Linked DNA regions of Rattus norvegicus. The protein of the gene in region 1 binds, or shares a complex with, the protein of each later gene. Links are inferred from orthologs where the notes say so. Each region holds a gene or a part of one and is shown in the gene's direction. Other genes may lie near its edges.

What was found.
Region 2: Dnaaf10 (region 1) and Asdurf share a complex: the UniProt entries of both Homo sapiens proteins name them as parts of the PAQosome complex. The link is inferred for Rattus norvegicus from reciprocal best matches to the Homo sapiens genes DNAAF10 and ASDURF.

Annotation. Positions count from the first base shown.
Region 1 is NC_086032.1:95,818,870-95,823,321, forward strand, and holds the start of Dnaaf10 (dynein axonemal assembly factor 10), read left to right. Parts: upstream 1-1,402; 5' UTR 1,403-1,444; coding exon 1,445-1,627; intron 1,628-2,161; exon of another isoform or gene 2,162-2,702; coding exon of another isoform or gene 2,703-2,813; intron 2,814-4,452. Other genes in the region: RNA-binding protein PNO1, read right to left, coding at 523-672, 794-997. UniProt on the Homo sapiens protein: Key assembly factor specifically required for the stability of axonemal dynein heavy chains in cytoplasm.
Region 2 is NC_086027.1:55,617,379-55,621,826, forward strand, and holds the start of Asdurf (ASNSD1 upstream open reading frame protein), read left to right. Parts: upstream 1-1,420; 5' UTR 1,421-1,477; coding exon 1,478-1,567; intron 1,568-3,155; coding exon 3,156-3,209; intron 3,210-4,448.

The DNA of each region.
Region 1 (4,452 bases):
GGATCTCCTACTTGAAAGGCAGGCTTAGCCAAGTGTCTGGCTTCTATCCCTTAGAAACGCTGAGGATCCTAGAATATCATATTAGAAGCATTATGATATGGGAAAATTAATTTCGTATTGACACAGATCTACTGAAGAAAAAAAGAGACTTAATTTACATTTTCCCTGTGACACACGTTTGCTCCAAAAAGAGCACTTACACTGAAGTAGGTACCTGCAGTTAACCCCTTACTGATGTACATCCGTGGACCATTCTCTACTTTTATCAAGTCAACACAGAGAAGACACTCAAAAGGATACACAATATTCAGGAGTGATCTTACAAGCGATTTAGGAATGCAGTCAACACCTGTTTTGAATGTAGTTTTGAGGGTATTTAGTTAATTTGAAATTCACTATAGTAAAACGGGGGTTGGGGGACGCTTAACAGAATAACTCTACGAAGGAAAAAAATGCACTCATTTATTTTAGTTTTGAAGGGGAAAATTCGGTAGGTTAAAAAGGATAAGCCCTTTTCCTTACCCTTATTTCTACATTCCTTGATTTCAGGTTAAAGCGTATCTGAAGTCCTAAATGTTCAACAATCGGGGTAAATATCTTCATCCAGTTTTCTTTTAATGGTGTGTATCTGTTAGCTGGGACGGGAATTTTTCTCGTTTCTTCTTTCCCAGTCTGCAATAAAAACAAACACACACTCAGAAGGCGAGTGGAGAGATGCGGGCTGGAAAGGTGAAAACCGAGAATAGACCCTTTCGTCTGCCTGGGCCCCGCCCCGTCCCATCCGGATCCCCACCAGGAGCTGATCTCCCGAGAGCGGCGGGAAGACCGGCCTCTTCGCCGGCCGCGCCTCCTCCGTGTCCATGCGTCCAGCGTCTCCATCCTGTCCCGCCGCTGACGATTGCTCAGCCTGTCGCTTCTTCGCCCGGCGGCCCCCTCTGTGCGTGACGGGAGTAAAGCCGTCCTCCGTCCCGGTGTTTTGCGTCTCCATCTCGGCCATGTTCAACCCGGATAAGTGCAACCACTGGAACACGTGCGAGGTTGTGCCGCGCATGCGCCAGCCTCCACCAATCAATTTGAAGGCTCCGCCCCTTTTCCGAGGCGGGGTCCATGCGGGGGGCCTAGGGCAGGATTGGTCCGCGGTTCGGAATGGCTGCCCTAGAATATGCCTGTTTGCTAATGTCTCCGTGCCGTCTCGCGCTCGCAGCCAAAGCATTCACATTCTCTAATGTGTCTATGTGAAAACGTTGTGGTAAAGGCGGTAAATCAGCTTGTGCCGTGTGTGGAGAAGTATCTGGTGCGGTCTCAGCAGCTCACCCGGCATTTTCGGAGGCAGCCAAGCCCAGCTTGCTAAGGCGTCCGGGTTGAGTGCGGCTAGGGAGGGACAAACTGCCCCTGAGATGTTTGCAGTTTGGTTACCAGGTTAGCGTTTGGCTGCTTCTGCACCATGTCCACCTTCGAGAAGCCTCAGATCATTGTCCATATTCAAAAGGGCCTCAACTATACAGTGTTCGACTGCAAATGGGTGCCCTGCAGTGCCAAATTCGTGACGATGGGCAACTTCGCCCGGGGCACCGGCGTTATCCAGGTGTACGAGATCCAGCGCGGGGACCTAAAGCTGCTGCGGGAGGTGGGTGCAGGCTTGGATCTGTTTGGGTTTGCGTGGGTCTGCATCTCTCTTTGCCACAGCAGAAACAGAAAGGAGATTACAGATTGAGGAATACTTCAGAGTTAAAACTTTAACATCCCAAAATCTCCTTGCAGAGCTAGTACCTCGGCTCACTGCCAGCCTCTGCCTCTCGCCATTCTCGGTGCAGTCGATTGCAGGGTTTCTGGGAAGCCAAGTGGACATTGCTTGGCAACGTTCGAGGACCATTTAGGCTGTTGGCAATTGTTGTAGTCTACTAGTAGGTCTATGTAATAAACCCACGTGCCATGCCAGCAGAACCAAATGAGGCACCAGCAGGAGACCTACCACGAAGTTGGTGAAGACTAGTAAATACCCCATTCTTTCACAAAGTGTCAGTTCAATGCCTGGTAAGGCCCAGACATGGGAATTGCAATGCCAACGATCTTACGGAATTTATTTTCTGTTGGGGGAGACAGTCAAACAGCCAGACCAAGGATGCATAATGTAAATCAAGATGAGTTTTCTAATACACAGGTCTGTGAAAGTAAAAACAGATTTAGGATGAGTAGTAAGCAACTAAGGCAAATGCAGAGTAGAATATGACGTTTCCAGAAGAAACAACATGAGATAGTGGTGGAAGATCGTTATCTTTTAAAAAACAAAAACCCAAGCTGGAAGTGGTATTGCACAACTTTAATCGCAGCGTTCGGGGGTAGAAGCAAGAGAATTTCAGTTTGAGACCCTGTTTGCAGCGATCACAACCCCTGTTAAAAAAAAATTACCATACACATATAAAAGGGGTAAGTAGGGACCATTGCAAGATCTGTAAGACATTTAACAGATTTGTCCTTTTTTTTTCTTTAAGAAAAGCAGGACACCACTGAAGAACTTTTAGGAGGATAATGAATGACCAGATTACAGGTTTTGTAAAAGGCTGCCAGGTAGCCAATTACAGAATGGTGACAGTAATTGACATTTTCCCCCTTCCTTCCCCTCTCCTCCCCTCCTTTCTCCTTCCCTTTCCTGTACATGTTTTTTGTTTTTTTTTTTCCCTGCATGTATCTGTGTGTACCATATGCAAGTGCACCTGGTGTCCCAGGAGGCCGTAAGAAGGTATTGGATGCGCTGGAATGGAGTTCCGGTGGTTGTGAGTTACCTTGCGGGCCATTCTGCTCTTAATCACCAGGTTGTGTCTTCAGCCCACACTGTTCACGCTTTAAAACTCTTTCTTTCCTTTCTTTCCGAGATGGGTGTTTTCTGTTATCCAGTTGGCCTCAAACTGTTAAACCAGCTTCTCAGGGGGCTGGGATTCAGGCCTGGAGCCACAGTGCTGAGTTGTGGCTAAGGAACAATTTTATAGTTCCTTAAGGTTTTCAGAATGTTTCTATTTGGGTTGACTGAAACAGATAACAGTTTGTTGTTGAGGTGCTGAGAGTTGATAAGAAACTAGGGCAAGTAGGAGATAAATAAACTTGCATGGCAAGCTATGTGTTCCTTCCCTGAGCTTTGCTGAGAGCCTGTTTTCTGGTTTAGTTCCAACTCTATAGCCAGGCATTGGACTTGGAGATTCTAAACATGGTTTGATGCTTCCCGCCTTGCCTTGTGTTCCTCACTGCTTAACGCGCAGTCAACTCTTGCCAGTCCAGGGGCCAGTTCGGATTATCTGATCTCTGCTCAAGGAACCTTTCAGTACATTCCACTCCTATAATACTGACTGTCTGTGGCAGAAATAAACAGTCTGCCGCATAAGCCAGAAAGCAGTGCCTTCTCCTGTGCTTTGTAAAGACCAGTCTCTCAGTACACATTCATTCAAAGAATGAAGACTGAATGAACCTGAGACCCAGTTTTAAATACTGGTGTAGGGATTGCCAATCAGTGTTTCTGGTAAGGACTCTGAACAAGGAAGCATTGGCATAAGAGAAGCCTTAAAGTGAGGGCCAGTCAGCCCTCAGCCAGAAAGCATTTACAGGCTTGTGTTTTGCTTTCCCAAGAATTACAATTTTTTTTATATAGTTTAGTAATAAGTTATTCGAAGTGAAATAGTGTTTATCTCTTCTAATTTCTGAAGAATGCTAGCAAAGTCTTATTTATTTATTCATTTTTAGTGAAAGTAATATGTGTTTATGAGAGAACGTTTAGGAAATATAACTAGGGATAAGAAATTGTCATACCTAACCTGAACCACAAGAATGACGACTTTGATGTTTTGCTTCCTTTTCACTCCACTAGTAATTACTGAGGCTGCCATTAGAGGTACTGGGCTAAAAAAGAACATTTCTAAGGAACACGTTAGAAACAAAGCAACTTTCAGAACTTAATGTTGTATTCGTTTGCGCTGCAGCAGAAAAGCGTGCAGGTTAAATACAGTCAGTGGTTCTCACTGCATCAAAGTTTATTTCTGTGTTTGGTTGCTAATCATGGCTGTGTACAAGATTTAAAATACCCATGCCTTGCTTATTAGAAATGCGACCTTCTGCTAGTTGATTTTGGTGAGTGCCAGAGTTGAGAACTTTTGGACCAGGTAGATTACTTACCTAAATTTTAGGAGGCATACTCATTTTGTTATGATGAATTGCATCAAGACTTGCTCCGAACCCACTGCACTCAAGATAGCAGAAAAAAGGCGCAGGTCGGCGATTGCCCGTGTCCTGCTTTATCTTACTGCTAAAGAAGTGGATAGACATGGAGGGCAGAAGGCCGGGAGTTTGGCATGCACCTTTAATACCAGCACTCAGGCAGTAGAGGCGGGAAGATCTCTGTGAATTTGATACCAGCTTGGTCTACACTGCTACTAGCCTCAGAATAGCCAGAGCTGCCTAGTGAGA
Region 2 (4,448 bases), on another chromosome or scaffold:
ACACTCCTCCATTGTTGGTGGGTTTGCAAGCTGGTACAGCCACTCTGGAAATCAATCTGGAGGTTCCTCAGAAAATTGGAAGTAGTACTATCTTAGGACCCAGTTATACCACTCCTGGGCATATACCCAAAAGATGCTCTAACGTATAACAAGGACACATGCTCCACTATGTTCACAGTAGCCTTATTTATAATAGCCAGAAGCTGGAAAGAATCAAATAACCCTCAACAGAGGATGGATATAAAATGTGGTATATTTCTACAAAAATAATGACTTCATGAAATCCATAGGCAAATCGATGGAACTAGAAAATATCATCCCTAGTGAGGTAACCCAATCACAAAAAAAAAAACAAAAAACAAAAAAACAAAAAAAAAAAAACCACATGGTATGCACACTCACTGATAGTGGATATTAGCCAAAAATCTCGAATTACCCAAGATCCAATCCACAGACCACATGAAGCTTAAGAAGGACGACCAAACTGTGGATGCTTCAGTTCTTCTTAAAAGGGGGAGTAAAAATATTCATAGGAGGAGATATGGAGACAAAGCTTGGAACAGAGACTGAAGGAATTGCCATTCAGAACCTGCCCTACCTGAGGTTCCAGCCCATAAACATACAATATTTCTGATGCCCAGAAGTGCATGCTGACAGGAGCCTGATACAGCTGTCTCCTGAGAGGCTCAGTCAGAGCATTACAAATACACAGGCAAATGCTAGCAGCAAACCATTGAACTGAGAACGGGGTACCATTGGAGGAGTTAGAGAAAGGATTGAAGGAGGTGAAGGAGCTTGCAACCCCATAAGAACAACAATACCAACCAACCAGAGCTCCAGGGACTAAATCACCATCCAAAGACTATATACATGGACAAACCCATGGCTACAGCTGCATATGTAGCAGAGTATGGCCTTGTTGGGCACTAAGGGGAGGAAAAGTCCTTGGTCTTACCAAGGCTGGATCCTCATTGTTGGGGAATGTCAGGGTGGGGAGGTGGGAAGCGGTTGGTGGTTGGGGACGGGGAACACCTTCATAGAAGAAGGGGAAGTGGGGATGGGATACGGTGTTTATGAATGGGAAACCGGAAAGGGGAATAACATTTGAAATGTAAATAAAAATATCCAATTTAAAAAATTAAAAAAAAAAAGCCAAGACCACAGTGTTAGGCACACTACTGATTAGTGATTTATTTTTACATAGCATCCGCTAGGGGGCAACACAGACCATTCATAGACTCTCCAGCCAAGCCAGACGAACCTTTAGCCAAAACTAATGTGCGCTGATGCACAGCTACTTAAAGTCGGAGTTCCAGGATCTAGTATCCACGCCTGCTACTGAGCAGGCGTAAATATGCGCACTCCATTGGTCGAGGTTCCGGAAGGGGCAGGGTCCTGAAAGGAACACTGGCTTCCGGTTGGGCCTGCCGCCTGCTGTTTCATCCACCGCGGTTCCTCCGTTCGGTGCGGCGTGGCGATGCCTAGCGGTGCGGAGCACCCCGGAGACAGCGCCGCGCCGGGACCCACCCGCACATCGACCGCGCACGCCGAGGCCCTTAGCAGTAAGGTGCCGTGGGACGCCGAGGATGGGCGGTGGGCGGCGGGCGGCGGGAAACGGGTCCCGCGGTCGCATCGGTGCCCAGTAGCCTCACCGGTCCATTCTCAGCACCGGCCGCTGGTTTCCCCTGCGTCCTGCAGATTTGCTATGATGGAGGCACAGATTTATCCACTGCAAACAACAGTGATACTGAGACAGAGGTCTTAATGACGTTTTTCCTTTACGCGTTTGCACCACTCTCCTCTCGGAACCCTTCACACATGTGATCTGTTGCTCGTTGGCTGTGCTTCATCCATTTAGCCATGTACCCGCCTGGACGCCATCCATGACGTCCATCATGAAAGTTTAGAAATCTGCCCGTTCTTCCAGACTCAGGCAAAATTTTCTTAACCGAAGTTATCAGTTGCCTGTTGACCTTAAAATATATTCTCACCTTTAAGTGATCCTAAAAACATCAGTTTGGTCATCTCTTTATTATTCAACCAGGACTGTAGCAGATTAATTTTTTCCCTTCCTCTTTTTGGGATAGGGTTTCATAAGTAGCTCAGGCCAGCCTCAAATATTGTTTGAGGATCACCTTGAATTATTCTCTTGCCTAATAGTCAGGATTTCAGGGAGGCAACCCCATACCTGAACTGTACAGTGATCTCAACTTCCAGTTACAGACAAAAATCTTTAAACGTGTGGATTGGAGGGGGTGTGGGTGCAGCCTTTTCAGTTATTAAACATCCTGAATTCCATATTTTTTTTCTGTCCTGTATGACATCTTCAGTACATTGCCTTATTTCCAGTGTGCCACAGTATTCTGTGGTGTCACCTAAAGTGAGATATATTATATACCTGTCGTTTGTAGTGAGCATAAAAGCGCTGTACAAGCAGCCTTGAATCTCAGGGAGGGTGTACTCAATGTAGCTTTGTCGTATGTTAGTACAGCTCTTAGCACTGCCCATGCACACTCATTTGGGTGGGGATGAGTTTTCAGAATACTCTGGCTACTGCCATAGCAAGCCTCTTGGCACTGTGTAGCTGTGTCAGTGTAGACTTATTGCCTATTTGGGCATTTCATCTGATGATAAGGAACAAACTGAGCTTAAGGATACCAGCAGTATGCTGTCCTTAATACTCAAAATAGAATGATACAAGGGTGGGAGATGATGTTGTACCACTGCAGGAAGGGCGTTCGTTCAGTACCGTTCCGTTCATTTTATCCGAATGTCTGGCTGTCATCCAGTGCATACATCATAAAACCACTGGCTATTGGTAAAGAGGAGAAGCCACATTCATTTCTCTTTTTTAGTCTACAGCCAGGCCTTATAAAATTAAAAGATTGGTATTAATTTGGCTAGACAGTGTCTCACCCTGGTTAAAGATGTGAGCTGTGGTAACTGGCGCCTGGCAAGTCTAAGTCAGCTTCTTTCTCCAGCTGTCTTCTACTGGTTCCAGCCTGAGTGTGGTTGCATCTGTACAGTATCCATTTAGACAGGCAGTCCATGACAGGCCCCAGTCCCATGTTTTGTTTTAAAGCAGTTGCTAAAAATGTGCTCACTAAACATAGTTTGAAAACTTCCACTTTAGGTTTTTTTCTTTACTTTAATAGATTAAAGAACAGAAAGTTATTGTGGATGAACTTTCTAACCTGAAGAAGAATCGGGTAAGTTGCTGTGGGAATCTGAATAGTATATATATATATAATATTAAAATTATGATTTAGATTATTTATGCTAACATTGCAAAATTCAAACATCGTAATTTAAAAACTAAAGTGATATCCTCATTTGGTTTTGCATGTTTTAAATTTGTTCTTCCTGTATAAGTCAGTAGATCTCAAAGATGAAAAAATTATATTTTAACAAAAAAGAATGAAGTTTTCCATAGAAAACTTTAATATTCCAAATACTTAACCCATTTCATGGCTTTTAAATAAATGTGTTAATAAATCAGCTACAATTAACTAATAATCGACATTTCTGATATTGTCATTTGTGAAATATTAGATGCTAGGGCAAATTAATACAGAAATTTTTGGAGATCAAACTGGCAAAATGAGTAAATGCTGTATGACACTTCAGAGTAACCGGTGTGGAAGCAGTTGTGAGGATGAATGCGTGTTTACCTGCAAAGGTACTTGCCAGCATCTGTAGTGAAGAGTTGACAGAACAGTAAATGACTGAGCTTGAAGGCAGTAAAGAACTATACATTGTACCAATGTGGTGATATAAAAGAACCTTCCTTGGTCAGAAAAGATCTCCATGTATTATTCGTTTATGAACTAAATTATAAACCTGTTGCTGTGATAGCCTTTGTTATTTGAAAGACTATGGTGTGATGACACATGTGAAGCAAACAACCGTCTCTGGGTGGCATAGTGATCAGTGACTTTGTTTATCTGTGGTAATCACTCTTCTGAATATTCCTGAAGTTCAAGAGTGGGTGATAAGAGGATCCTGTTCAACATCACTGTGCAAGTCGCATTCTTCTTTTTTATTAGCATGTCATGGGTACTGCGGCCTGAAGCATGGACTTTCAGTGCAAGGACATGATTGTCATGACCCTGGGACACCACTCATGGGTGGCTAGGAATATTGGTGCTGTATGATGGAGTGAATGGACTGTGACATAGTAGGTGCTCTCATAGCACAACACAGGAGAAAGCAGAATACAGACTTCATTGCCAATGATTAAGAACCACTGTCAGTTCTGTAACCAATGCTAAGGGAGCCTTGGGAGCCTTTTCCTCTTGCAATTGAGGCAGAGCTTTCGTTCATTTCTTGAGAGCTTTGACTGCTCAGGACTATAGCCAAGCAGTACCTTATCACAGTGCGTGCTTGCTTGCTGGCTTTCTTCCTTTCTTTTATTGGATATTTCTTTATTTACATTTCAAATGTTAATT